2 linked regions of the Rhinolophus ferrumequinum genome follow. The protein of the gene in region 2 purifies or fractionates together with the protein of the main gene of each other region. This does not show direct contact. Links are inferred from orthologs where the notes say so. Each region holds a gene or a part of one and is shown on either strand. Other genes may lie near its edges.

Region 1 (15,747 bases), on a different chromosome or scaffold from region 2:
CCCCAGTAAGAATGCAAACAGTGGAGGCTACTTCACAAAAAAAGTTATGTAAATGCGCCTATATTACCTCAAAGGAGGGGGAAAGGCAAATTAGCATGATTCCACCTGAATTTATCAGCAAGGCGATTCATATAGTGGGCCCCATGGATACAGTAGGCATTTGATGAATGGCTGTTGAATGAATGAATTTGAGGGAGGTGAAGAAAAACCAGACAGGATAAAATACGGAAAGGAGGGGGAAAGGAGGGACGTGGAGAAACAGTCACATGGCGGGGAAAGGGGAAGAAAAGTGTCCTCCTCTTGCTCATTCTTAGTATCTGCAAACCGGCCGGCCCCTGACAGTCTCTTCTAATCAGTCGTCCTCTGGGCATTGTCTATTATTTACTAAGGTTGTCAGGTCATAACATGGCCCGGGTGGGTATCACTCATTTCATAGAAAAAGTTGAAAATGTGCGCGCGCACACACACACACACACACACACACACACACCACCATCACCACCACAAACAACAACAGCAAACACTTGTGAAGAAGAGCCTCAAATCAATGTCAAAAACAAAATAAATGTCCCAAACACATGAGCCCTGTGCTGAGGGGGCTGGAAGAAACGAAAGACAGAATCCCTGCCTGCAAGCCAAACTATTTGCCGGGAAATCACACCAGAAATCGAATTCTCTCACTGGTGAACGCAAATTCTGCAAAGGCTTAGCTCTCTGAGGCTGGGAACTGACTTATGTCAAGTGAGTCTTAAAAAAAAGTGCTGATGAACCAAAAAGAGAATACACTGATGCTGAATATTTCGTTTTATCTATGCACCCCTTTCCTTTCCCCCAGCGATGTGGGGAAAGTCAAGCCGGCCAACAATTTTAGGAACTTATTCTCAAGACTGCTATGCTAAAAAGGGAGTTTAAACTGGGGATCCAAAGTCTAATTTCAGTTTATTGCCTAAATGTAAAGTGATACTGGGTATATCCCTCTGCTCCAGAAAAATCATTATCTTTGTCCTTGGGGAAAAAGTTTATGGTTTGGTACTTTCTGCAGATTATAAGAATTTTCCATTTTCTAATTAAATTTTAATATTCTATAGGAAAAGGATAAGACATGGAGAGGAGGCAGTCGATAGGGACAAGCATTCTAAGTAACAGAGGCTAGAGAGACGTTCTGGCAGCTTTTTCATGGTAGTGGATCCCTATGTCTTTATAAATCACTACCTTCTCGTGGAGTTTCATTGGTCAGCATCTGAGCCCCGATGACACAGCAATAGAGGGAAACTGCCTCCAAAAGTCTTTCCATGAATGGCTTCTACCCTAGTTCAAAGCGTTCTCTCGCTTGTTTGCTCTCCCTGACTCCACTCCTGACTCCGACTGTCCTTCCTTCACAGGAGCCAGAGGGATATTTTTAAACAGATCAGCTCATGCCACTGCCCTGATCACATCCTTCTATGGTTTGGCGTTGCTCTTAAAATACAACCCCAACTCCTCTCCATGGCCCTGAGGGCCTTCCAAGTCCCTGGGGATTCTCGTCCCCCCAATGCCCCCAGGCCCAGAGCGCCTCCTCATGCTCCCTTCCGTTCTTCGAGCAGTCCAGAAACTTCCCCCAAAGCAGCCCTTTCACACCTGCTGCTTCCTCAAACCGGGAACACCCCAATGCCTTAGCAGGTTGCCTGGTACCTGGCAATCCCACGACAAACAGTTCTTGAATGGATCCCTGTTTCATTACGAGAGTGGCAATGGGATGATGAAGACGTGGATCTATAGTCCATTATCTTGTAAATAAACGCATCGCATGTGTGTATAGATGGATATAAATGTGTACATATGTGTGTATCAGGTACGAGCATATATATATATACTTTAAACAGTACATTTTATAGTGACAGATTTCCATTTCAGTTTGGTACTACCTTCACCAAACTCATTTGAGGCTGGCGTACAAGTCTGTCTGCCTCTCTAAATTCAACGCTCTTTGCAAACACAAACTGCTTCTTTCATATTTCAGTGTTGCCAAGGACCATTGAACATACCAGTCTACTGAATGCACACAAGCTTCCAACACTCAGTAATGAACTGGGCAGCATTTTGGGGTGTTTGAATCCATTTCAGGGGTCTCAAACCCTTGGTGGCAGTCTATAACTCCCACAGAACCTGTCAAACATCAGTATTCGCCTTTATGTATTACGTGTTGTTGAGTGGACGCCAACTCCTGGCGACCCTGTGAAATGACTGATGTCCACAATGCCCTGTCCTCAGCAGCCCTGCTCGGCTCCTGTAGGCACGTGCCTACGGCTTCTTTTAGGGAGTCCATCCATCTCACACTTGGTCCTCCTCCTTTCCTGCTGCCTTCTATTTTTCCCAGCATTATTGTCTTTTCCCAAAAGCCCTGCTTTCTCACGAGGTACCGGAAGTAGGATGGCTTCAGTTTTGTCATGTTTGCCTCCAGGGATGTTTCAGGCTTAATTTGCTCTGGGACCCACTTGTCCGTCTTTCTGGCGGCCCAGAGTATCCCTAGAGTTCTCCTCCAACACGATCCTGCAAACAAATCCATTTTTTTTCCTATCAGCCTTTCCTTTCCTTATTTGCCTTTCCTTTCCTTAAAAAGGTCAGCATTGAATGGCAAGCGCTGTCTGTGCTCCCCAAGGGAAAGAGGAATAAGCACAGTGTCCTCTATTGTTCTGTAGAGTAACAAATACAAACATGAGTTGGCTCTGTTTTTCCAGGATCTTGATGCGACTCACTAACAGTCTCCACATTGACCATATGCGAGAAGGATAAGTAACCTTAGCCGTGGCCCCTGCACTTGAGCAGCTCTGGCCAAAAACCCAAGCTCACATTGGGACATGACATTAATAAAGACATCCAGTTTCAACTGGAAAGACATAGAACTGTCATTTTTCAGCAAGGCAAGTTTATTTACTCCCACAGGAGATAAACAAACATGACCACCAGGGAGAGCCTGGGACAAAATGTACTTGACCTGTAATAGATAAACCAAAAGCCAAGAGTCTCAGAATAAGCTACATTGCCTGTCCTCAGCTCAAGTCATCGTACAGTATCTTTCAGAGGAACAAAAGCAAATGTGAAGGATGTGCCATTGGCTGAAGGAAGACGGAAAATACAGCCAGTTTCGCCAGCTGAATAAGGCAGAGGAAGGCAGACAAGCAATCTCAAAATCTAAATTCAGTACTCCCACCGCTAAATTACCTGGAGAAGTGTCATTTAATTAAATGCCTTCCTTTCCCTACCTATGATGTAGAGAAGTATGAGTACACTGAATACACTGACATTTTAATTACCGAATGCATACAAAATCTAAACCCTAACACATGAACCAAAAATAATTATTTTGATAATGAAGCAAAACAAAACTCAGAATAGTACTTGTCATTCAGGAGTTGGCTCATATGATCACCTCTTCAGAGAGACTTTTCCCAAATCCCTTATCAAAACTAACCACGTTCTTGGAGCTCCATGCTCCTAACTCCGGAGGCTGCCGGTTCGATTCCCACATGGGCCAGTGGGCTCTTAACCACAAGGCTGCCAGTTCGATTCCTCAATTCCCGCAAGGGATGGTGGGCTGTGCCCCCTGCAACTAGAAAACGGCAACTGGACCTGGAGCTGAGCTGCGCCCTCCACAACTAAGACTGAAAGGACAACAACTTGACTTGGAAAAAAAAAAAAGGCCTGGAAGTACACACTGATCCCCAATAAAGTCCTGTTCCCCTTCCCCAATAAAATCTTAAAAAACAAAAACAAAAAAAAAACTAACCACATTCTCCCCATTCGGTTTTTTTCCCTCCCAGCAGTTATAACTTATTACCTAAAATTGTCTTATTTATTCATGTGTTTGTCTACTCTCTCAGCCATAAGAACAGCAATCTTTGCCCATCTTACTGCTTTTTAGCCTGCCTGGTTCGATAACTACTGGTTGAATGAATGAATACTGAGGTTAAAAATAATTTGAAAAAGAAGAACAAAGGTGGAAGACTAACACTATCTGATTTCAAGACTTGTTATAAAGCTACAAGAATCAAGACCATGTGGTACTGAGAAAAGTATCCTTTTCTCAGACGGATCAGTGGAACAGAATAGAGTCCAGAAATGGACCCACATATAAACGGACAACTGATTTTCAACAAAGGTGCAAATTCAATAAAGAAGAATGGTCTTTTCAACAAATCTTGCTGAAACAATTGGGCATCCATATGTCAAAAAGAGAATATGTATCTACACCTCATACCATACACAAAAATTAACTCAAAGTGGATCAGAAACCTAAAACTATAAAACTTGGAGAAAACATTTGAGACCTTGGGTTAAGCAAAGATTTCTTAGGAATGACAGTAAAAGCATTATCCATTAAAAAAAACTGGTAAACTGGACTTCGTCCAAATTAAAAATCTCTGTTCTTCAAAAGACACTTAAAAAAATGAAAAGACAGAAAAATTCAGATTAAAACTTTGAACTTTTAGTTAAAAAAAAGAAAAAAGAAAGAAAAGACAAGCCACAGACTAAAAGAAAATATTTGCAATTCCGATAAAGGACTAGTATCCAGAATTAAGAACTCTCAAATTTCAATAATAAAACAAACAACTAAATAAAAAAGAGGGAAAATATTGTATCAAATACTAGATATGTCACCAAAGAAGATATACAGACGGTAAATAAGCACATGAAAAGATGGTCTACATGATTAGTCCCCAGGAAAAATACATATTAAAACTACAATGAAAATGAGATACCATGACACACCCACTACAATGGCTAAAATTTAAAAATTGACCACACCATGAGCGGTGGGAATGCACATGGTGTAACCACTATGTAAAACAGTGTTGCAATTTGGGAAAAAGTTAAAAATACATCTACTATATGATCCAGCCATACCACTGATAGGTTTACAGAAAAGAAAAGAAAGCGTATATCTATACAAACACTTGTACCTGAACATTCAGAGCAGCTTTACTTGTGATAGCGAAACTCTGGAAACAATGCAAATGTCCATCAACAGGTGGATGGATAAACAATTGGCAGTACATCCATGCAATGGAGTATTACTAAGCAATAAAGAGGAATGAACTATTTGACATATACTACACCATGGATAAATCTCAACATAATTATGCTGAGCATAAGATGCCAGCCTTAAAATTCCATTGATATAAAATTCTAGGAAATGCAAACTAATGTATAGGGACACAGAGCAGAGCAGAGCAGTGGTTGCCTGAAAAATAAGGGATTATAAAGGACATGAGGAACCATCTCAAGCAGTGCTGGACATGTTTCTTATCTTGATTGTGGTGATGGTTTCACGGGTATATACATACATCAAAACTTATCAAATTGTACACTTAAATATATGTAATGTATTGCATGTCATTTATACCTCAATAAAGCTGGTTAAAAATAATAAAACAGACCTACAACCTGAAAAATAATAATAATTCCCAATTATGTGTGTTATGTTCATAACTTGACTTTTTTGGTGGCACACATTTCTTTGTTATAATAGGTGAGACAGGGAGGGCTGGAGGAGAGGAGGAATTACTCCATTTCAAACTGTCATGTTTACCACTTGCCGGTTGCTTATCCCCACACTTCCCTGCTTCTAGACTAACAAGCTGGACAATGTAGGGTCTATTACTACCCTACCCCTTACCCAGCCCCAGCCCCATCTTTTGTCTCCAAAAGCAGCAGATCCTTACTTGTCTGGAAGAGCAGACACAAGGAACAAAAGGCTCAATGACTATTTGACAGATTAAAGAATAGACAACTGTTTTATTTAAAAGCTCCCTAAAGAATTACATTTGAGGCTATACACTGCCCTGTTGAAATGCAATTATGTATTACCCAGATCTGTAAGCACTTGCCAACAGACCTGTCCAAGTCACTCACTTCCAAAGTTTCCAGTTTTCTTTTTTTCTCACTCTTTTCCTTCCAGATCTATGAATAAGTATTGTGCAGGTGTATTTTGAGACGACATTCTAGTCTTTTGAAGTCTCTCACTCAAATAACACCAAAAGGCTAAACAGTTTTTCAAATGTCTAAGACAGTGACCACAACAGGGCAACCAAAGAAAAGACTAAACAATGAGTCTTATATGTGAATGGTATATAATGAGTGACTATACAAAAAAGCAGATCACCATCTGAAAACAATAGATCACCCTACTGCTTAATAACAAAATTAAGACCTAAAAATGATTAGCAACAGTTATAAAATAATAGCAACATAGTGATTAATAGTGGAGATTCTGGCTCTACCATTTGTTGGTTGAGTGACCTTAAGCAAGTTGTCTAACTTCTGAAACTCAGTTTATCCATCTTTAGAAAGGGGATAATAGTACCTACCTCGTAGGGTTATAGTGAAGATTAAATGTTTGGCTTACAGTAACAGCTTAATAAATGTTAGCTATTAGTATTATTACCCTGAACTTTCAAAGGACCTCATTAATTCACTAATCTTCCTTCTGACTCTCGGGTACAAATCCTGTCATTTACTAGCTTGTTACTTCGGAGCCTCAGTTTCCACATCCGTAAAAAGAAGGTCATTAATGTTACCTGACTTTTAGGGTTGCGGTGAAGGATTAAATAACTAGAAGAGATACAACTCCCTTCCCTCCCATCTCTCAAAGCGAATATTGCAGAGGAAGGAAATACTTCTAATAGCTGCAGATACAGTCAGTTTTTCCATTTCTGGCACGTGAAGGGTGGGGTGGGGGGAAAAGGAGATGCAAAGACGCCTACAAAGGGGTCAGGGGTCCCGAGTGAAGCCCCCAAATGCGCGCGACAGGCAGAGTGACCTCGAGCAGCTCCACCGTCGGGGACCCGGCCCGGAGCAAATCCCTCCTCTTCCCTCCCGCGTCGCGGGCCCAAGGAGCCTCCCCAAGTGAGCCGGGTTATTTCGGAATCACCATGAGGCAATTCTCATGAGGCAATGGGTCAGGAATGCGGCGCCGAGCCGGGCCGCTGGCGTCCGCGGTTCCCGCGGCGCTCTACCTGCCCCCGTCCCGACGGGCATCCCCTAGGCTGCGGGAGCCGGAACTCCGGGAGGCAGGAAATGAATGGAGACCCGAGGGGTGGGAGCGAGGTGGGACCGGACCCCGGCCCCGGGAAGGCGAGGAGTTTGGGGGGGAGCCTGTCCCCCGACCCCAGGCGGACGACCGAAGTCCGCCCGACGCGCCCCCTCCCGGGCGAGGCTGACCGAACACGACGGGGGCCGGGCCGAGGCCCGCGCCGGGCCCCTCCGGGCTCCTCACCTCCGCGATGTCATGTTCCTCCCGCCCTCCGGCTCCGCGACGGACCCGCTCCTCGCTCAGGCTCCGCTGGGCCTGGTCACATCGGGATGGCCCGAGGGAGGCCCGCTCGGGACCGGACGCGGGGCAGAGCCAGCCGGCCGCGCGCAGACCCCCCTCCAGGCCTGGGGATCCCGGAGACTGTGCAGCCGCCCCCCAAGCCCGGTTCGCTCCTCCTTCGCCCCCGCCCTTCGCCGCCGGCGCCATAGTGACGTCACCCCGCGCGACGCCCCCTGCCACTTCCTGCTTCCAGGCGGCGGGACACCCAGCCGCGGCTGGTAATGGCAGGTCGGTGGTGGCTCGTTGGAGCCGCCGCCTCGCAGTTCCCAAAGTACCTTCACGTCCTCCTTTAGACCTCGGCTGCGGGGCGTGAGCTGCGCGCTCAGTGTTGTCCGCGCGGCCCCAAACCGATAGTTTCCGTTCCCACGGTGTCAATTTTCATTCCTGCGCTGACTGCCAAATCGCATTTCATTCATTTCATTCCTCAGATCGCCGCTCCCCTTAACGAGCTGTATAACCTTGGGAAAGTTGCTTAATTTCTCTGAGCCTCAGTTTCCTCCATCCCTTCGTATCTGTAAGGTAAAGATAGTCATTGTATTTTCTTCGTGGGATTATTGTGAGGATTGAACATGTAAAATGCTTAGAGCGAGGCCTGGCCTGTTTAGTGTTTTGTAATTGTTAGCTGTATTATCAATGTCAGTAAACATATGTTGAGGGTTTTCTATCTGCTAGGCACTGTTTTAGACTAGGGGGATACAACAGGGAAGTGAAAAGACAAAAATTCCTGTGTTCTGGGAGGAGCTACGGTAATCAAGATAAGTAAAATACTCATGGTAATATTCCCATCCTTCCTTCTTGTCTTTTCCAAATAGCCCTTTCTAGTATCATTTGAAACAGAGTTTTAGGGAAGGCTTCACTGAGGATTCCAGTAAAGATCAGATGCTGAAGCCGTCAGAGGAAATAAGTGAGGGGAGTAGCATTTCAAGCATCTAAGGTAGGAGGCTGCCTCCTATTGAAAAACAATAGAGGGGGGGGATGAGGGTGAGGGGGATCAAATGTATGGTGATGGAAGGGGAGCTGACTCTGGGTGGTGAACACACAGTGTGACTTATGGATGATGTGATACAGAATTGCACACCTGAAATCTATGTAATTATACTAACAATTGTCACCTCAATAAATTAAAAATAAATTTAAAAAAAAAAAAAAAGAAAGAAAAACAATAGAGAAGTCTCCAGCCGGAGGGAGAGTTGGTGGTGAAAGGAGAGTAGCAGGAGATGAGAAAGAGAAATGGTAGAGGATCCTATAGGTTATTTAAATGAACGGCGAAATGGAGAGCCCTTGAAAGATGTTTCGGCAGAGGAGGAATATAATGTGTTTTTGAAGTATTACTTTGGGCACCCTGTGAAGAATTGGATCAAGAGGGCAAGGCCAGTAACGGAAAGACCGGAATACTAAAATACTGTGGTATTCAAGGCTGTAGGTGATGGTAATTCGGACCACAAGAAGGTCGAGTTTTTAACCTAATGAATGCACGTGACTCATTAAAGGCCACAGATCTAGTGAGTGAATTCAACCCACATTAGATAGCTCCAAAATCCTCCCAATGATTCCCATTTCACTCCTATACAAAGAACTTTCACACAGTGTGCTAACTGCTTCAGCATTAATGAGCTCCTTACAAAAAAAATTGTCTTTAATATATGCAAATTTAATTTAGGTAATAGCATTCAGCAAGAAGTTGCTCAACCTGTTTCTTTCCATATTCTTCCTAAATCTTAGCCACCTGGACAACTCAGACAACATCCTAATTGATCTCAGGCCTGCAGGCTTTCCCTGTCCCATCCATTCTCCACATAATAGCGACAGTAATCTAAAATGCAAATCTAGTCACTCCCTAACTTGGAGTACTTCAAAGGCTTCTCACTGCTTTTAGGATGTAGCAAAAAGGGAACAACAAAAAAAAATTTAACACCCTCCTGATCCAATCCCTGCTCACTTCACCAGCCCTACCTGTCCCCACCACTCACCTCATTCCCCATGTCCCGGTCGTGCTGAATGACTTTCATTTCCCCTCCCAGCTGAGATGCTCCCTCTCCCTGGAGGGTTCTTTCTGACCCCGCTTCCCCAGGAACTCTAGTTTATGCCTCAAATCTCAGACTCGAAGTCATCTCCGCTGGGTTAGGAAGCCCGCTGTGATTCTCCCAGACCAGGTTATGTGGTCCCCAAGACACCTTTCCTATCTTAGAACCAAACGTACTCCATTATAACTCGAAGACACAGTATAATACGGGGGATTAAATTCGTGATCTTCAAAGCTCAGCCTGTCTGCCTGGGTGTCCTATGTTAGGTTACTTGACTCTGTCTCAGTTTCCTTCTCTGTAAAATGGAGAGACTCTAAATACCACACACCCCATAGGATAGGTTCCAAAGAATAAAAGAGTTAATGTTTAAAAAAAAAAAAAAGTTAATGTTTGTGGAGTACAGTAAGTCCTCACTTAATGTCGTCAATTCATTCTTGGAAACTGCGACTTGAAGACAAATGACCTATAACAAAACCAATTTTATCATAGGCTAATTGATAGAAACAAGAGTTAAGTTCCGAGAGAATATTTCTGGTCACAAAAACATCTCCACACTTCTAAATAAAGACCCAAAATACTTCTAATATTAAACATTGAAATAAATGTGAGCTATACATACATTTAAAAAAAGATTAATAAAAACAAGTGTGGTCATTATTTTGTAACCCACTTATTCCAGGTCAGGGCTGAGCACAGCTGAAGCCTATCCTGGCAGCTCAGTGTGCAAAGTGGGAACCAACCTTAGACAGGAGGCCCTTCCATCACAGGGTGCAGGGCACATCACACACACACACACACACACACACACACACACACACACACACACCCCTACAACCCCTCAGAATGGGCCAATGGAGACAGGCCAGATCACTTAATATGCACATCTGTGGGATGTGGGAGGAAACCAGACTACCTCTAGAAAACCCACGCAGACATGGGGAGAACGTGAAAACGACACACAGACAGTGGCCGTGACTGGGAATGGACTTTTTATTCTCAGGAACGTTAGGAAAGGACAGTGAACGAAATGACGTTATTTTAGGATCTGCCGTACCCAGAACAGTGCCTGGCAAAGTATGCACTTGATAAATGCTGTTTATCATATATCTCTTCCAAAGTAAACTAAGCTCTTTGAGCACAGAAACCATTGCTTCCCCAGTCTTTCCTATATTTTGTACACTCTGCAGCAAGAAGGATCTTTCTAGCATACAAATCTAATCATGTCATTCTTTGCTTCTATGAGGGAGGTTCAAAGTCTTTAGCACTAAATTAAAATCCTCCCATTAGACTAAAAACCTTTCTAGATATGGAATATACCCACACAGTTTCATTTACCCCCACTCTTTCGCATAATCTGACCGTTTTCAAAGGCCTCTTGCTCTTTCTTGCATCTCTGTCTTCCAGAAGTTAGTTTCTTCTGTCTGGAATACCCTTCAAACTCTTCTTCATCTGGAAAACTAAGTGTCAAGCAAGATTCAGTTCCAACTCAATCAGCTCCTCCACAAAACATTCGCTGTCCACACCCCTTGACCACATCCTAAAAATAAAATAGAGACCCCCTCCCCACTACGCCTTGGGGCTGCCTGTTTATCCTCTCACAGCCCCCAACATAGTTCAAGGTCGTTGTTGATTGAGTCTTTTTCCTCTTTCCCTAGTTTATGAGCTCCTCTTAAAACAGTCATTATCTTCATATGCCCAAAGCCTACACAGTAGTACCTGGCATATAACAAGCTTAAGAAATTCATTTACAGATGTTTTATTTTTATTTCTTTCTTAGCTACAAAAGCAATACAAGTGTGTTGCAACAATCCAAATAAGAGCAGTAATTTCCCCGGCTCCTTAGTGGCTACAGCCTCCCTATGGCAACCCCCGCACGGTTAATGATTTGGTGTGTATCCTACCACACTTTTTTCCATACCTACACACACACACACACACACACACACACACAGATCCCACACACAGTCACTCACATACATGACATATGTAGGGATTTTTTTCTATTTTTTTAATGAATTCATAATATGTGTATATATTTATAGGTTTGTAATATGTATATATTTATATATACATACATTTGTGTATGTGTGTATATGTATGTATGTACATACAGATATATATAGAAATAGATAAAATATATATAGAGAAATAGATACAAATATATATCTTTGTGATATAATGTTTTCTCTTAATATATAATGGACATCCAGCTAAATCAGCACTGATTGTCCAATGCAAATATAATGTGAGCAAATATACGTGTAATTTTAAAGTTTCTAATATTCACATTTCAAAAGTAAAAAGAAACTGGTGAAATTAATTTGAATAATATGTTTATTTAACCCAATATATCAAAATATTATCATTCAACATATAACCAGTAAATATAAACAATTATTAATGAGATATTTTATATTCTTTTTTTTCTTGTGCTTTTAAAGTCCAGTGTGTGTTTTACACTCACGACACATCTCAATGTGAACTGGCTACTTTTCCAGTGCTCAGTAGCTACATTTGGCTACTGGCTACCGTGCTATACAGCACCCTTGGATGAAAGTCATTCATTTTCATACCTGCATAATATTCCATAGTATGGATGTCCATTGTTTAGTCAATTCCTGTGTTGATGGACATTCAAATTATTTCAAGGGCTTTGTTTTGTTTTGTACTACTATAGTGCTGCCATGAACTTTTTCGTGAGAAAATTATTGAGTGAGTGAATCACCATGTTGACCTTAACATTAACATTTAAGAAAGTATTATCAATATTGCCAATATCATCCCCGTTTTATGAGTAAGAAAACTCATGTGCAGAGACTTATAAGATCATATAGCAAATGAATCCCCGGTTACAAGGACAGTACCCTTTCTGCAGCACAACTGCCTACTGGGTTTCTGTTTTTCTGTGACACAAAGAGACATGAGTCAATGTAAGCACATGTGTGACCCTAGATAAGTCGTTTATTGTAATTGAGCCTCAGTTTTCACCTTAAACTAATACCTCACCTGGACGTTGCTTTGAGATTTATAATACAATGATTTAGTGTCTGCAAAAATGTCTGCTTTATAATTAATAAAGAACTGCACAAAGTTAAGAGTATTTTATATATGGCAGAACCAAGCACCTACTGTTTACTTTATAACTAATACCTACAGTATATTGATTATATTTTGCCCAATTAATGAATGGTAAGTTTGACAATACCACAACATAACACAAGAGGGAGTACATTGATGTTTTTATTTCAATGACAGGTCATTTCACAGATACTTTGTGGCATTTACTAGGTGAAAGTCTCTGAGATTGTCAGCATTTTTGAGGGGTTCAAGTAGGCAATTCTGCACTTCATTCATTCTTACACATTTTCTGAAGTAGCTATATCAAGAGGTGCTTTGCTCAGAAAGCTAAACAAATAAAGCTGCTGACATTCCCATTCTCAAAAAAGAGCAGTGCCCAAACTCGTCCTTGAGAATATTACATGTCTGGACAGTGAATAAGTTTTTATTTTATTTTATTGGGGAATATTGGGAAACAGGGTGTGTCTCCAGGGCCCATCAGCTCCAAGTCGTTGTCCTTCAGTCTAGTTGTGGAGGGCACAGCTCAGCTCCAAGTTTTCAAGCTTTAGTTGTAGGGGACGCAGCCCACCATCCCATGTGGGAATTGAACCGGCAACCTTGTTGTTGAGAGCTTGCGCTCTAACCAGCTGAGCCATCGGTCTGCCCCGGATAGTGAATAATCTTGAACTGGAATAAAATACAGTCTTTTCAAATCACATTCATCTTTAATATGTATGGAAGGCAGACAAGTTTAGAAGCCTCATGTTTTAGCAGGCATGGCAACTCTGCATTCACTGTAGTCTGAAGGGTTTCACTGAAATTCCTGAGGCCTTCAGAGGTATCTGACCCCTGTATTTGCATCCTCAGTCAACCAGAACCAGAAAAGGGCTACATGATTTCCAGGGACATAGCCACAAAGCAGGTGGTTTGAACCTGAAGAAAATTGAGGTGACAAGCTCTAGCCAGCACAACAAGAAAGTGGAAGAGAATGGAAAATTCAAGCCAAAACCTATCACAAAGTGTACCTATTTCCTTAAAGACTTTGATGCAGTAAAAATGTATAAGATATACTATGTTGTTTATTTTTTTATTTTATTTTTTATTTTTTATTTTATTTTATTTATTTAACTTTTTTTTTAGTAGTTTCCGGTGCACAAAACAATGTAATAGACATTTATCATTTATATCCCTCACACAATGACAACCTCCCTCCCCGTGTTTATTTTTTAAAATTATTGTTCTTATTTTTAATTCTAACATGAGCAAAGATCTCTCTTATTCATCTTCATTAGTCATCTCTTCAGTCTTTACAGACTGATGGTTAAGAGTACACGCTTTGAAATCAGATCCATGTTGTGAACAACTTAACCTCTTTCAGGCCCAGATTCCTCACAATAGTAGCCTTCACAAGTTGTTGAAAGGATTGAATGAGATAAAGCAAGGCACACAGCACAGTTCTAGGTGCATAACATACAATATTTCTCTTATTATCCCTGGTGCATAAACTTTAGCAGAATACTTGGCACATAGCAAGATCTCATTAACAACTATGATGTTGATGGTGGTGGTGGTGGTGGTGATAACAAGAACTAACATTTATCTGGCACTTACCACGCATCAGATATTGTTCTTGATGATTATCTTTATATTAACTCACTTAATCTTCCCTAAAACCCTGTGAGGTAGGGATTATTGTTACCCTCATTTTAGAAATAAAGAAACAGACTACAAAGTGGCCAGAAATGCTTGGAGATGTGCTGGGCAAGCATGCTCTTACATGCCTCCGTGCCTCTTGCATCTGACACTTTCATCTGTCAGATTTGTAATTATCCTTCCAAATCCTACACAAAACGCACCTCAAAACGATCCCAAATCTCCCAGAAGAAATAACTTACAATTTTTCATTTTTCTGTTTGTTTTTCCCTTGAATGTGTGTTCTTTGAGGAGTATATTTTATTCATTTTAAACTCTAGCTTTTCTGACACTCCACCATTGAGCATGGTCTATGGTCTGATTAGGGAATATAGGCATTAAGGCAACTGTGGAGAAAATGTCCGTGTAAGTTTCCCAACTAGCCTTTCATAGGAAAGATTTCAATTTATTGGGGATTAGATCCTTCATCCATCTATTTTCTTAGATTGAAAATAGTAGTGTTTTCTAATGTCCTTAGTAAGCAAAATAAAAGGTTGCAACTTTATGTTGGTTCCCAAAAGAACTTTGAAAATTTTACTGGTTTATAAAATGAAACGTTATCAGACAAAATGTTCTTCCCTTTCGCTTTTTATAAGGAAAAATAGCTCTCCAAAATACAGTACTTTCAAAAGAGAAAAACCTACATCTCCCATGATGCCTCAGATCCGGAAGGATGTGAGACTCGACTCCTCCCATGATTGCTTATAGACCGGAAGCCGGGGCCTTAGTTCTCTTTCCCAACTTGCAAGGTAAGAATGGTGGCGCTTCTCTGCAAGACTTGGTTTCAGAACCCCAATCCTTCTCCATCCGAACCTGGAGGGTATCAAGTCGACACCTGTAAGGGTCGGACATGCTCGCGGCCAACTGAGAGGCTTCCCAGACGCTTCATTTCTGTCGCTTGGGTTTGCTGTGGGGCACGAAGTGGGTGACATGGAATGCCCAAGAGGCTTCGGGGTTCCGGCTGGTCGCTACCCTCCTGGGCTGGAGAAACGGGGCCCCTCCGGGGATCCGTAACAGGCCAGTGGAACCGCAGGGACGATGCCCGCTCTGGAATATCTAGCCCCGCTTCCAGAAGACGCCGCTGAGCTTGTCTCAGCCACGTTGGGATTTGAGGCTGAGGCCAATTGCTGTTTTCCGGACTCCCCTACGTCCACGACCGGAAGTCGCCTCTTGGGCTTTGGGCTTTTTTTCTGTCTGGCCTGAGTTTGGGCTAGTTGTATGTTCTCGCCTCCTAAGCCGAATTTCTTGAATGAGACAGTAAGTAGGCAATGTGAAGAGAGCAAAGGCCTAGAAGCAACCGGTTTCAAATTCCAGCCTCTCTGCTTCCTAACTGTGGAGATTTGTAAGGCTCTGTGTCTTAAGACTTCCAATTATCAAAACAGGAAAAATGGAATTAGGACTTTAGACCACTAAATGTTTAGCAAACACCTAAAAAGTGTTAAGATATCTTCCAAGCCTCAAAAACTTCATAGTGTATTGGGGAGACAACCCCCAAATTAACCATGAGGGTGTTTGCACGTGTTTGGGGTTTAGAGGAGGGCCTATAGATTATAAGGGGAGGGATGAAAAGAGGGTGAGGGCTTGTCTGGGAGAGCCATTTTTGTACAGTTAGTGTTTTGTTAC
Region 2 (15,799 bases):
AGACTTTGACAGACCAATAACAGAAGATATGCAAGTGATAATGCCTTGTACTTACAAAGTCATTTTCAAAAGCCTTCACATTCACTATTTTATTTGATCCTTGTAACAGCTCAATGATGAAGGCAGAGCTGGTGGTGGTGTAAGGAAAGGCCTGGACCAAACTTGGGAACCCTGACTCGGTCAAGACTTCTTTCTCTTTCGCTGTAGTGTTCTCATTACTCTCATGAATACTCAAGAGGGTAAGGAGGAAGAAAATCCCATTAATTGAACTGCCTAGATGTCTGGGGCTTCCATGTACATTATTCCATTAATCTTTGTAACAGTAACAAACAAGCATAATTATCACTATTTTACAGATTGAGGTACAAAGCTGCTAAATCACTTTTCTAATGATTCAGAGCCAAAAAATGGAAGGATTGGATTCAAATCCTGCATTATGTGACTCCAGAGTCTGTACTCTATCCACTCACCATACCACTTCTATTACACTGGGCGAGAAGCTTGGCCAATCTTCAGGCTCGTGTTGGCCAATAGCCCATTTTCCATGAAATATTCCCTCTGGCACAGACACAGGCATGGGCAACAGGAGAATCCTGGGTGAGCACCATTTCCTGCCCCTCATCTCTATCATCTGTGACAAACACCACGCCATTCCCTACAGCTATGTGGAGCCGTTCCCTACAGCTATCCTGAGGTAAAGGAGGACCCCATGTCTGTGGAAAACTGCCTTTCCCAAACAATCTCAAGTGGGCTGTACAATGAGGCCATTTCCTACTCTTAAACAGGAGGGTGTAACATCTCCCTAAGACTTGCTACTCTTTTTCCTGATACTTTATGGCAAGAAGAGGCAAAGTGTCCTGCCTGAAGGTGCCTGGGGCTGGGCTGCCCCTGAGCATCTTGGCTTCCCTGCCAATGACTGTCCTCATCATGGCATCTGACCAGAGGTTCCCATAACATGAGCCAACCCCACAAAGAAGGATCACTGAGAGGAAAGCCAGACCACCTGGCCACTTGGAACCCATGATGAGCACATTTATCTGGATAAGTAAAACAAACAACAAACAAACAAACAACCCCCCCCACACACACACACACACAAATGAAAATACAAAATTTCCCCAAACTCTGAAACATCTCCTAGGAGACCTGGTTACAGAGCCTAAAATTGGTCTGGGGAAAGCACTGAGAAAAACACCCTGGGGTCAGCCCTGCTGGGTGAGATGAGGAAGTCCACAGGGACAGGTGTCTGACACAGGGGCTGAGCAGACCAGTCAACCAGACAGCCTTGTTGTGGGATGAGTTTGTAGGGGTTGAGGGGAGACAGAGAAGAAAACTAGACTATGAAGTGACTCTAGCTCAGAACTAGGCCCAGGGTGTACTCAACATCTTTACCCAACATCATGCCATCAAGTGACCTTCGTGAACAGATGGATTTGAGTAACCCAGACCCAGGGAAGGGAGTTGGGGGCATGCATGGCCCAGTGTGGCCTGTGAAGATGCCTACTGACAGTGCCTTGCCTTCACCAAGATTCCCACCTCAGTGCTTCCTCCAGGGTTCAGATCCAGTTCACAGCACAGAAGTGGAGAGGTTGAGAAGAGATTCCATGGCATCTGTAATCTGAGGATTTTCACCCCAAACTCTTTGTCAATTCCACTTATGCTCCTGCTGTCCTTCTAGATCTTGGAACAAATGTGTGGGGATCTTTCCCCTTCTGGGGTCTTCCCTAGATTGACCCTGAACTTCCCGTTTCCCTGCAGTCTCCAGAGCTCTTTGAGAAATATTCTTGGTAGGGTTGTGGGGTTGCAGAGGAGGCGAGGGGTGCTTCTTAGTACCCCTCAAATTACCCTATATAGCATCCATGTAGTTTGCTAGCCTGCTTTCTATTGGCATAAGCTGCTAGAGAGACAGAAATGCCCGTACCATTCCACTCCTAGGAAGGAACAGGGTTTAGGAACCGGTTACAGTGGCTGTTGAGTCATCAGCCTCCAACCTTTTCTGTGCATCAAACATTGCCTCCCATAGTGCTGATCTACCTTCTTAGAGTAATAATTATGACAAAAATTTTCAAAGTATCCTAGAAATCCTGGACAACCACTGTCAGCCTGTTTGTCCAAACAAAACTTGAGCTATGGCCTTCTCTTTGGCAGTTCTAGAAGGCTCTTTGGCAAGTCCTCTGAACACTTTTCCTACAAAGGCAGATGAGGAGCAGGATTCATTCCTTTCTCTCTGAATAGTTTCTAACCAATCATCACTTCCCTGAGAGACAGAGACAGCTGGGGAAGTGGGAGCTGCATGCTCCATGAGGTCATTCAATGATCCTCTGAGATGCTTATGAACCAGGTATGGAGCCCAGAACAGGGATTCCTGCCCTATCACACCAATGAGGTGGGCTGACATGAAGTGAATCTAGGGGAGAGGGAAAAAGCTAAGATACTTGAGTAGTTTGGTAAACCAAGCTATAGACTAGAAAGCTTCAGTGAAAAATTCTAGCTTGGATCATTGGAGAAAGCAATAAATTGGGGGGGGGGGGGAGAGGGAAGGGAGGCCCCAAATGAAGCACATGGAGAAAGTCCAATAGCTTCCTCTTCTCTATTCACTTGCTTTCCCCAGCACTAACCATGAGAAAACCATTCCATTGGGTTAAAATATGACTCTAAACATCCTTTAATGATGTAATCATACAAGCATTAACGTAATTATCAACCGTGTGAATGACTTCTCAGATATCATTTTTAGTTAAGAGCAGGATATTTAGGAAGTGGGATTTTTAAATATTAGGGTTTCATCCCCTCTTTGCAAAATTGCAAATGTAATACAGCATTGAAGAAATTTTTAAAAAATAAAGCAAAACAATATTCCGTAGTTTTCTTTTCCTTTTTTTTTTTTTTTGTCACAACTGCTTTCAAGTTCTCAAATCTCCTCTAAATCTTTTTTTTAAGGCACTAGAGTAGACCGGTTCAGAACTCTGGCTCTATGGTCAGAGAGGCCTAGGTCTGTTATTTATAAATCATGAAATCTTGCAACCTTCGGCAAGTTATTTAATCTCTCTAAGCCTTTCTTTCCTCAGTAATAACAGTTAAGATGAGGAACCATCTCACAGTGTTGTTGGGAGAACTAAATGACATTAATCCAAGCAAGGTGTTCAGTGCAGTGCCTGTCATGTGGTAGTCATTTTGCATTTGGTGTCTACCATTTTCATGGTTTCCTAAAGGTAGGCATGAGTGATTAAATGATGAACCTCATTTAGCTGCATCTGGTGATGTACAGGAAGTAGTCAAGATTGAGGACTGTCCTAGGAGACCAGGAACAGAAAGCTTCAGGGACCCCTGATATGAACATCATTCTTGGGCTTCCCCTTAAGAGTCAACAATAGCTTTGTAGCATAAATTAAAGACAAAGCACATTATGGGCCATTAAGAACTTTCAGTAATTGAAGACAGAGTGTGGATTTTCTGCAATGAATATTTAAAAGCCCTGTAATAAAGGAATCAAAAATTCTCAGCAGACTATCACATTTCATAAAAGAAAAAAATATCAGTACATAAAACAGAACAGGAACAGTAAAAAAATATGAATCAGAACAGAAAATGTGAAACAGAATGAAAATATGAAGTGAACCCTTAACCACACTTGATTCAGTTTCGCAAAATCCACGTGTGAAGGGATTTGAAGTCAATATGAAAATCACACAGTACAGCAGTTACAGTGATTGTTTTAACTGTGACTGTATAAAATACCTATAAGGTTTTCATTCTGTAAGGTGGATTTGGTCACCTCAGTTTTTTCTTTTGCTGTATTATAAAATTTAAGTCAAAAAATGCCTCTGGGTATCATCATGAGTAGTGGGGTGAATTTCAATAATGATTATAGTCACGATACTGGTACTCAGGGAGAGGCTGTGGAAGCATCGCTCCTCACTGCACAGCGGCCTAAAAGAAGTATGTTCTTGCCTCAATAGGCTACTCATTCCATAAGCACATTTGTAACTATAATGACTGGTGTGCATACACTTCCATACTTTTAAAATTTAACGTAATACATAAAAATTTATTATTATATGCTGTTGTCTAGTTTTATGAGCAGAAATTTCTTAAAGAATATTGTGTTAATTATCTTGCCTTGAAAACAGAGCAAGTGCAGATCATGAGATAGTTTAAAATGTTAAGTTTTAGAAGGCATTTTATGGGGTAAAAGAGGTATAGACCATATCCAGAGACAGGCTTCCTTCTTCAGATTTACTGTTTCTAAATTTTGCTTTGTTAAGTAAGATAACAGAGCATGTCCCTTCTTAAGAAATTTTTCTAAGAGTAAATAAGTCAGTTAAGCAGAGGCCTCTAGTTCTGTTTTGTTGTTTTTAGGAGGGATGGCTCCCAGCTCCCAGTTCTGATGACTCAATCAGGATAAAGGCCATTAAAATGCTAAACCTTGGTCTCATTTGGGCCAAGGTTTGGGATATGAAATCCTGCATGCTCAGCTGGCACCCTGATACTCATCTGTCCTTCTCAGCTTTCGCTCCAGCTAGACCCTCCAACAGGCGTCTGCAGATATTCCCCCTGCATCTGCAGAGTGTCCACTCTTCCACTTGGGGAAGACTTCCATACTGGGATGGAGGACTAGGAGAAAGATAGATAATCATGTTGCTTCCTATGCTGCTTAGTTAGCTCTTTAAAATCCAAGAATTAACTTTAAGAGCCTGGGTTCTGAATTTGGTTTGCTCACACAAGTGTGTTAGGTCATGGAGGGGAAGAATATGAGATTTCTACAACAGAAACAGCTTATCTTTCCCATGAGCTCTGCAGCAGGTCTAGACCTTACAATTATTATCCCCAATTCACAGATGAGGAAACTGAGGTTTAGAGAGTTAAATAATTTACCTGAAGTCACACAGTAAATAAGTAGCAGGGACAACACTGGAATATAAACTTTACCACGTCCTGCTACACTGGCCTTGAATACATGCGCCTATGTAGCAAAGCCATTGTCAGAGCCCCTCATATCCAGGGGCAAGAAGTAGAGACCAGGGGAAGAGAACAGCTGTGGTGCTTCGCATTCATTCTATTACATCCTTTCTGGGCTCCACGCCCCACCTAATCCATTCATGATTAAGTATCTATGACTCTTTACTTTGCTATTTCTTGTCCAGCTTTCTTGTCTAGCTTCTTCTTAGGAGCTGCCTCCATTTTGACCTTTGACTCTCTCTTTCTGCCCTTCCCTCTGTCTCATTTCCATCAGCCCTTTGAGATCTCTAACTCCCGGGCCAACTCTAGCCACTGGCCCAGCCAGGTCTGTGATTGCTGCCTTGCTGGCTTTTGCAGCTGCCAGTATTCTACGAAGACCCATCCTGAGCCTGCCCTAAGCGTGGTCTTGCTGTCCTTGTCCTGAATTTCACATTGAAGCCCCACAGGCCCTGATACTTGCACTGTCTGTTCTCAGAAATCTCTTGTAGGACCTTAAATACTTGACCAAACTACTGCTCAGCTCTAATTCTTCCTCTAAGGATTTATGTGTGTGTGACAGCTTGTACTACCATCCAAACACCTGAGGGTTCAAGTTTGACTTTATGCTAATGAATTTTTTTCTAATTTCAGAAGTATATGTAGCCAAGGGCTCATGGAGTCAGAAAAATATGAATTAGAACCACAGAGGTTTCACTCAGTACTTGTATCAGGTAGGACAATTCAGTTTTGGTGAAACGTAGTTTTCTTATCTATAAAATAGTGTATTACAGGTTACTTGTATAGTGGATGGCATGACATGCAGCTCAGATCTCAGAACAGCATAGCGGTCTCGCCCCAGTTGCTGGATGCTTTGGTGACTAACAACTCTCAGCTGAGTCCTTCTTCAGCAGCTGCCCTCAGACAGTTCCTTCCATGAGGGCCACCCACATCTAATGACTGGTAAGCTGGTTAATGAAAGGATATAAAAGTCCAGTCACTTTGCCTCAACTAGGAGCAACCCTTAACGGGTATCACAGTTCCAGAGCTCCTTGTGGAGTCAGCTAGGCCTTTGTTGCAACTGTATTGGGTACAACTTCTCCCTCTGCTCAATCCTACATGTTTTACTTCCCACAGGCATTGATTCTACAAGTACTTCCCAGTGAACTTCCTGCACATGCATCTTCATCTCAGAGTCTATCTTGGGGGGAATCTGACCTGAGAGATCTCATGTATTTTTTTGAGGGTTAAAGCAACATAGTGTATATAAAGTACAGTATATGATATAGCCTGGGCAGTCAGTATTTTCTAGTTCCCTTCTCTTCCTTGTTGTTTTGTCTTTCATTCATTCCTAAGAATACCGGACCTACTAAACCTAGGCCTCTGACAGGAGGCAATGTTCCTCCTCCCACCTGATCAAAACTTTTCACATACAAGTAGTTAAATATATCCTAGGATAGTTGTTCATTCTATTGATAGGATTCACCAAAAGTTTTAAGCAGGTAAGTGACCTGATCAAATTTCTTCTTTAGAAAGATTATTTTGGGGGCAGCTCGTTGGCTCAGTTGGTTAGAGCGCGGTGCTCATAACACCAACATCATAAATTCGATTCCCACCTGTGCCAGTGAACTGCACCCTCTACAACCAGGATGAGAACAATAGCTTGACTTGGAGCTGAGCTGCCCATGGGCAGCCGGTTGGCTCAGTTGGTTAGATGTGTGAGCTCTTAACACAAGGTTGCTGGTTTGTTTCCCACATGGGCCAGTGAGCTGCGCCCTCCACACCTAGATTGAAAACAACGGCTTGACTTGGAGCTGATAGGTCCTGGAAAAACAAACTGTTCCCCAAAAAAAGATTATTTTGGCCACATTGTGGGAGAGATTTAGGTAAAACTAGAGGCTGGGAGATGATTAGAAGAAATGATAGTCTCCACTGAGGAAGTGGTAATTAGGTGGGAGAGAAAGAGATCCATTGAAGACTTATTTCATATGTGGATTTGGCAGCGTTTTGCAACTGATTGGATGTGCGGTATGAAGGAGAGAGGCCTATATACAAAGGCCTTTGGACTTATGGTATAGCCTCCAGGCATATAGCAATGCCATTCTCTGTGATAGGAAGTATAGGAGGTAGAGAAATTTGAAACAAAATTGGGAGCAAGGGTGTGAGATTAGTTTTTGGTTTTGGAATATGTTTATTTGGCATATTTATGGTACATCCAGATGGAGATTTCCAAGTACTACTTGATTATATAGAGCTGAATTTCAGACAAGTGGTATAATCTGGAGAAAATGAAAAACAAAAAAATCTTAGAAGCCACCTCTCTAACTCCCTCATCTCACCCTCAGAAAGCTGAGACTTAGAGGTTAACACCTCTGAGGGAATTGCCAGAGGCTACCTGAAACAGTTTTTGTGAAGCCATGACCAGAAACCAGGTCTCTTGGGTTTTAGGTCAGTATACCTATCCCTTGACTGACTTTCATTTTGCTCTATTTATATTCATGTTTCCCCAATCTAACAATACCTGACATACAGTAGGTGTTAAAAATGTTTGTGGAATGAACATACAAATTACAACCATTCTTTGAGGTAGGGCTGTCCTCTCCTCTCTACATCATCACTGAAATTATATCTCCGCAGCATCTTGGAAATCATCAGACCCAGAGAAGTACTGTTTAGCCTCCAAATTTGCATTTACTCAGGTATTTCCCAATACCTCTCTACATACTCTGACAGCAAAACGTCTGTTGTGCAGATCTCATCCAAGGGCAGTCTTTGTGCTGAGTCCACACACCTGAATGGGAAGATTAATAAAAGCAAGAAGAATAGAAAGAAGGTATTATTTAGGACACAGAGATCATATAATCAATTCCTTCTTATTTTACTCTTGAGAAGCTTAGGTTAAGAGGTCTCTAAACCTAATTTGACTGTCTTGATTCAGTCAAATTAAAGTCCTAAGCCTAGGAGAAAGGGGGGACAGTATAAGACAGAAGAAGCCAACTAATACTTATTGAGTATTTACTGCATACCAGACCTTGTGCTGGATGATTTACTGAGGCTATTTTATTTAATCCTGATTGAAAACATCATCCACTTTTTCATTACGCTAAGTGAAACAAGTCAGACAAAGAAGACCAATACCATATGATCTCACTTACATGTGGAATCTAAAGAATAGAATAAATAAGCAAACTAATCAGAAACAGTCTTAGAGATATAGAGAAAAAACTGAGGGTTGCTAGATGTGGGGGGGATGAGGGAGAAGCTGAGGGGATTAGGAAGCACCAATTGGTAACCTCAAGATGGCCACGGGGATATGAAAAACAGTTTGGGGAATATAATCGATAATGTAAAGATTTTGTAGGGTGTCAGATGGCACATGTCTTATTAGAGAGACCACTTCATGGATGGTGTAGGTGCCTGACGACTGCAATGTACACCTGAAGATGAAGCCGAATAATAATGAATATATATATATCACAGGATGTGGAGTATGGCATAGGGAATAGAGTCAATGGAATCGTAAGCACTATATATGATGTCAGAGGGGTAGTAGATTGGGGGAGTGGGGCTATCACTTTGTGAGGGGTGTAGATGTCTAACTATTACATTGTTTTGTGCACCTGAAACAGAAAAGAAAAAAGATCATCCACTTCTTTCATATGGAAAACTGAGACTAGACAGTTTACTTTTCTAAAACTGGTAATTGGTGGGTTTGAAACTCAAGCTCAAGACTGTCTGGCTCCAAAGATTATTCTCTTTCCCTTATATCATGCAGCCTTCCAGAGGTTTCCATTGTGGTTCCAGATGTTAGGTATAAGCTTGAAGACCAAATATGCTCATTCCAGTGCTTAATATGGGTGCCAACAAGCCCTTCGATGTTGTCATCTTAGCAGGCCATTCAAAATTCAGTGGTCTAGGGTTTGCAAGAATCCAGGAGACCACATGGTCAAGCCTCAGAGAGGTTATCAGCAAGTCCCAAAGGAAGGAGAAAGCATCTTTGACTTCCAGCCTCAAGTCTGCTGGGAATTTGTTACGTGTACTTGGGCATGTCACTTTCCTTTCTTGGTCTTCCAAGATTGAAAAAAATATGGGTATCATCATTATTGCCACCCTTATAGAGTTCCAGAGTGCCTGAAGGCAAACCACTTATGAGTGCAGATCAAATAATAGTGCTTGGTCTCCGAAAATCAAGTTTTAATGCTATTAGGTTTTTGCAAAAGTAATTGGTTTTTGCAATTATTTTTAACCTTTTAAACCACAACTACTTTTGCACCAAACTAATATTGATACAGCTAATTCTATAATAGGATATGAAGTTGTAAGAAAAACTGACAAAATGATGGAGGGGTATGTGCGAAAGAAAAAAATAAGTACCAGAAAAAATAATAAAATAGAAAAAAAAAGAAAAAAAAATATGGGGAAATGCCAATTTTTGTGGGCTTCCCTGCTGATGATTTCCAAACTTTCTCTGTAATAATCATCTCTATTACATAGGGGATGGAAAGAGGTTATATATGGGGGAGGGAGAAAGACTCATCCCTAAGAAGTGGTTTCGGGGCTTTGGAGAAGCAACAATTGGTTTGAATCTTGACACATGAGTAGGAGTTTGTTAGGCAGACAAGGAGAAGGAGGGATGATTCCAGGAAGTGCAAAAGCTTGAGCAAAAGCACTGGGTGAGTTTGGGGAACTGCAAGTAGTTCAGGAAGGTTGCAGCATTTGCTTCAAGGGAGGGGCCAACCTAGAAATTAGGCAGGAAAAATCCACAGAAGCTGAGTCACACAGGGATCAGTAGTAGCCCTCAGGCCATCTAAGGAGCCCACCTTTGAAGATTCTAAGCATGGAAATGTCACAAACCTGTATTTGAAAAAAGATCCTTCTGCTCTGTATTCCTGCCCTCTGCAGGAGTATAGCACAACGGAGAAAGGTTGCCTGGGAACTGGAATGGAAAGATATTTGTGGTTCAGAACCCTGCAGAGCCACAGCCAACCTATAGCCTCTACTTATTACCGTGTTTCCCCGAAAATAAGACCTAGCTGGACCATCAGCTCTAATGTGTCTTTTGGAGCAAAAATCAATTTAAGACCCGGTCTTATTTTAATATAAGACCGGGTCTTATATAATATAAGACCAGGTGTTATATAATATAAGACTGACCAGGTGTTATATAATATAAGACTGGGTCTCATATTGATATTTGCTCCAAAAGACGCATTAGAGCTGATGGTCCAACTAGGTCTTATTTTCGGGGAAACACGGTAATAAGTAGAGGCTGTAGGTAGTTATTCATGGAAACTTTCTTCTCTTCTTGATTGATTCAACAGAAAACTAAGAAGAGAACTGTTATCTACCAACCTCAGAAAGCTGCAAATTTGATCAATTGCCTCTAGTTGTTTTTGACAAATATCCTCAGGGAAAAGGCTTTCACACTGTGTGATTTCCACTCATCCAATAAAGAAAGGCTTGCAAGTGGGGTCCTTCACGTAACCACTACATACACAGTTCTCTGGGAATGAGGTTTTAAAGGAGCCTCAACCCCTTCTTACCCCTCCAGTGTCTGCCAGGCTGTTGGTTTTCACCATGATTGTAGGCTGTGGGTTTTAAATGCAAGAGAGAGGCTAGAGAACGTGGGATGGGACTAGGGCAAGATAAAATGCCACAAAGCTCACTGTTCTTACTGGGATTCAGACATTTTTCTTAAATAAACACTCCCTGAATTGCTGTAAGCCTTTGGTTAATTTCTAGAATTCTGGAAAAGCTGATTCTGCTTTTTTTGTTTTCATTTGTTTGTTTGTTTGTTTTTTAGTTTTCTCATTGCTTTTATAGATGAGAGGTCCTTATTTTGCCATTTTTGCTACCATTTACTGTGTGTGTGTAAAATTCTCTTTGTTGAGTTAAGGGAATTCTCACCTATTAGGTTGATTAAAATAATTGTCATAATTTTTCTACATTTTTCTTACTTATTGAAGTGATTGTATGCTTCCCCCCTTTAATTAGCCAATGTAATTAGTTACATAAATAGATTTTTAAAACCTAAACTATCTGTGCATTCCTGGGATAAACCCTATGATAATCTTATTATGTTAATGAATTCAGTTTGGTAATATTTTATTTAGAATTTCTGTCCTCAAGTGAGGTTGGTCCATAACATAGGGAACTAAAAGAAGAATAGCCATCATTTAGACACTGAAGTGAGGTGTATCCATGGCATGACTTCTATGTGCAAGAGTTGGCTATAACTTTTAGATGGTTCCTACTGGGGAGTAGGTAAATCTATTTGAGGCTACATGCAGTAAATCAGAATTAGAAATAGATAAGTTTTAGAGACCTTGGGAAAAAAATTGCCTTAAGCAAGATACATGTTTATTATTGTCTCAACTGAAAAAAGATAAGAGGTAGGCAGTTCAGTTTGGTATGGTGATTCCTCAGATATCTCTAGGAATTCTGGGATACCTCTAGGAAATGGTAATTCTATTATCCTTAATTTGTGGCCTTTGTCCTCATATCCAAATCGCTACTGAAGCTCCGTCCATCCATTTTTGTCCCAGGCAGCAGGATAAAGGAAGAAATGGAAAATAACTTCCCATCTATTCCCAGAAATCCCACACAATTTCTGCTTATTAGCAATGGCTTAAAATTAGCAACATGTAAAGGAGTTGGAAAATGCAGACTAGATGGATGGCAAAATGTCCAACTAAATATCAGGATTTGTTAATTTGAGAAAAAGAGAAGATAAATATTTATTTCATAAGCAATTAGAAGTCTCTGCCACCCAGAGAATGGTTTGATCATGTAAGAGAGTTCATCTTTATAATCAGATAGATGGGAATAATGTATGTAGGTGAATGTGTGTGTGTGCTTGTGTGCACATGTGCTTGGCAGTCAAGGAGAATGAGAAGGACACCTACCAATGTATGTGCTCATCTTGTTTTCTCTGAGAACAGTGTTACAGTAGACCTCATCCCTTGCATTTATTAAAAATTAATCATACGTTTCTTGATCTGGATGCTAATTACAAAGGTGTGTTTACTTTGTAGAAATTTACCATGCACTTTTCAGTACATTCCAATAAAGAAAGATATTCCAATAAATATTGTAGTATTCCAATAAAGAAAGATAATGATAAAGGTGGCCGTGAGATAATACTGGCTTTTAAGATTTTGTTTCAAATTCTTCCCTAGATTTTTCCATTTTAGCCAGATCACTTTGAACCATTATTCTCTCTCATTTATATAGACATATATAATTATTTAATAAATAAATTATATTTATCTTACTATCATATAGAAACACATAATAAAATTTGTATAAGTATGTACATTTATCAGGATCATTTCTCAGGCCCATGGGCCCACATCTAAAGCCTTGCTTGATATTGCATTATACTAATTATTTCAAATTTAGAAAAAAATTAATGAAATATAACCAAATTAAAATCTGGAATTTTTCAAGAAGACATTTCAAATTTCACAATTTGCTACCTCGCCTCCTTATCCTGCAGAAAGTTCACATAGAACCACTCCTATCAACACCTGTAACTTCTTTGGAAGTTTCCATACATCAGTAAGAGCAATCTTTCCCAACACAAACCTAGCCAGGCACCTTCCCTGCTGAAGGCCCATCAATGGCTTGTCAGTGTCCTTAGGATGAAATTCCCAGGACCCTGCATGACATGGCCCCCAAACCCCACCAGTCTCATATCTTGCCATGTTTTCTCTAGTTTTCCCAGACACACTGGTCTTCTCTTAGTCCCAATCTCAGGAGTGGCAAGCTTTTCCTCCTTTTCCTGAATTAGGGTTTCCTGAATCCTGTTTTGTGTCTTTGGTGCTCATGCAAGTCAGGAGGAGGTGGGAGGTGCTGACCTAGGGATCTGTTCAATGCTACCAGCACCTATCTTTGACTCTACTTAGAAATTCTTAAGAGGTTGGGCTGATTCTCCTCCAGCCTCACCTCTCCAGAGCCCTCACAAAGGATTAGAGAGGGGTTACTTGCCCTTAACAGAAAAACTCCTGACTTTCCAGTTTTTCTCAGAAAAAGAACACCCAACCCTGCCATGAATGTGTATAAAGTTCTTTACTGAATTGTACAGAAGATCTCAAAAGCCCAGGGGACTTTAGGAGGAAAAGTGGTTATAGGAATTTGCATATGAAACAGATTGCCAAGAGTCTGGAAAACAACTGGAGCTGATTCATCTTTACCGGGAACACTCACAATTTGCCTATTAAATCTTGCTACCTCAGTGCCAATGTTCAGCTTTTCTCTTGATTCTTCAAGTTACTCCCAAACCCTTCAGTGAAATTCTCCCCCACATTTTTTGTTTGGGTAGTTTGCATAAATCAGCTGATACAGGAAGGCAGTTTCTATCCTTTCAATCCTTTCTCATCTTTTGCAAACACAAATGTTCTGGCTCTGGTCTAATGCTGATTGAAATTCTCCTTTGCTCAAAGTTGATTTTGGAGTGGGAAAAGCTAAACTCTAGTCTCAAGTGTGAAAGAGAAAATGGGTCCACTCCATTCTAACTGAGTTTCCCTACTAGTGAAATTTTGCTGCTGAATTTCTCACTAGTTTTCCTAAGAAATAAGCAGGCTTCAGTCATATTAGGGAAAAGAGATTTTTCTCATTGATCTGACCCTGACTCTTGTGAAATTCAAGAATTATTATAAGTAACATTTTATTCTTTGAGAACTGGTTTATTTTTAAAGAGCCACCACCCAAGGTGGCTCTCTATCTGCCATCTAGAAATGTGGCAATCACTTCCTTTAGATACTTTTTTATTCACACCTCTCTAGCAACCAGGTTGTTTTTTTCTTCCAGAGCACCCCTGCTTCATCCTTTTCCTCTTCCTTTCTTTTTGAATACAATTTTTTTGTTTTCATTTTTATCTACTTTTTGTATAAGTCATAATTCACATGGATCAAATATACAGTGAAAGGTCACCCTCTACCTCCTCTTTTCCTCTTTCTTGAAGGCTCCACCACACACACTCCCCTGATTTATTTAATACCTATTCATTTTCAGTCTCTGATTCCAAAGGGAAGTTCTCTCTGACCCTCAAACCCAGATCCAATCTTCCTGATTTACATTCACTCAGTCCTCACTAGCTCTTTAAGGGAGCAGTTGTCATAGTTGACACCTGTAGCATTGTCATAATTGAAATTAAATTACTAAATTTCCTTATGGCTCTCTTGCAGACTAGATCATAATCTGCACGAAGGCAAGAACTGTATGTGTCTTTCTCAGTGCTGAATCTAGAATGGTGTTTAACTAATAATAGCTGCTTAATACATATAAACAGGTTTGTTTTTTTTTTTTAATAGTATGAAGTTGGTTAGTTGGGAGCTAACATAAAAGAATGCTCTTTCTTTCCTACTCACATCAGCACTATATCAAATCTGCCTTCCATCACTTAAGGATGTTTTGGGAAAATCCCTCAGTTTCATTTTTATCACTTCTAGTAATTTTACAGTACAGTTCAATGTAAAATTCCCCTTTAACCTCTTAACAAGCTCAAGCTTGTCTCATGGTCCAAAAATCTATAATAGGGAGGGAGGTATGGTTTAATCTTTCGCCTATTTTATCTCATCTAGTTCCAGCTTCTCAAGTGGTTTAGGGCCGGGAGGAGAGGGCCAAACTATTTCTGTTACCTGGATGCTGTTGATTTTCTCTGTTCCCCTAATACTGATCCACTGTTGATGCCTTCTCTGAATACTGGCTCTTTCATGGAGCATAGGTTTGAGTGTTTTGGGGACCACAGTAAGGTTGGTGGGGTTGGGGAGATCTCCACTAAAGAGTGTCAATGTCGGAAATGTTCTCTGGCTTGGCTTCTCCTGACCCTCCTCCCACTCAGCTTCCGCTGATGATGTACCATCCAACCTCTTGCGGCTGGGATCTGCTTATCTGGTGGCCAGGTGGTAAGACAACTGAAGCCTGGCTACCATCTGCAGTGTCCTCTGTGGAAACTCCTATATCCTTGCCATATCAAACAATGGGTGTGCAGGCTGTACTCTCACTCCAATACCATGTTTCTACCTTTGGGAAGATCAAAAGATCCACTGCCCAACCAGGGAGAAAGACATTAGTCTTCACTTCTTTTGTATTCCTTGAATCTCTCAAGTGGTGCTTTTGGAACCCCTTTCATCTAGCACTATGGAAAGGGGATCTCATTCATGAGGAAGAGAAGGAAAAGCCACAGGTCTCTCCCAACTCTAACAATTTTGATTCTGATGATTTTCTCCTCTCTCCCTAGTGTTCTATTTATATAGAATGGGGGTGAAGAGTGCTGGGGTTATCGCTGGAGTAGCAAAATCAGTTTGGGTACCCCTTACTAAGCCTAGAGGTAGTGCTATCCCTGACTTATTTGTAGCTCTTTTGAGAATGTGAAGTCTCTTTTTCCTAGCTCTAAATTTGAGGCAGTGGGGAAAGTCCCATCAAGAATCCCTTTACAGATATCTATGTGATGAGACAATGAACCAATGTGTTTGTTGTGCTGTCTGCTCCATAGGAGCCTCTGTCCAAGCAGGGCTCCCGGACACAGAGGTTACTGGGCTGGGAAGAATTTATTGAGAGGATTGTATTTTCTATTTCACTAAGGAGGGAAAGAAACCAACCAAGGCACTAACTATCAGGGGTTATCAAACCCTTGTAGGCAGATGGAACATCAGAGGCAGAACCAAGCATGGTGAGGGCTCAGTAAAAAACAGGAGTTACGAAAGAAATGTATCAGCTGGAAGAGGTGGAATAGAAGAAAGAAAAAATAAGAGACAGGAAGATGATGGAAACAGAAAATGAAAGTGATAGAAATGTGGAAAGAGGAAGATGGTGGAGGAGAGAGGAAGAACGACTAAGAAGCTGAGGTCAAGAGAAGGGG

What was found.
Region 1: the proteins of SLAMF1 (region 2) and PTPN11 purify together in Homo sapiens (affinity purification with western blotting; 3 studies listed by BioGRID and IntAct, with this or other methods). This does not show direct contact. The link is inferred for Rhinolophus ferrumequinum from reciprocal best matches to the Homo sapiens genes SLAMF1 and PTPN11.

Annotation. Positions count from the first base shown.
Region 1 is NC_046308.1:7,481,245-7,496,991, reverse strand, and holds the start of PTPN11 (tyrosine-protein phosphatase non-receptor type 11), read right to left. Parts: upstream 7,479-15,747; 5' UTR 7,270-7,478; coding exon 7,256-7,269; intron 1-7,255. UniProt on the Homo sapiens protein: Acts downstream of various receptor and cytoplasmic protein tyrosine kinases to participate in the signal transduction from the cell surface to the nucleus. Positively regulates MAPK signal transduction pathway. Dephosphorylates GAB1, ARHGAP35 and EGFR.
Region 2 is NC_046305.1:27,925,817-27,941,615, reverse strand, and holds the start of SLAMF1 (signaling lymphocytic activation molecule), read right to left. Parts: upstream 7,704-15,799; 5' UTR 7,661-7,703; intron 1-7,660.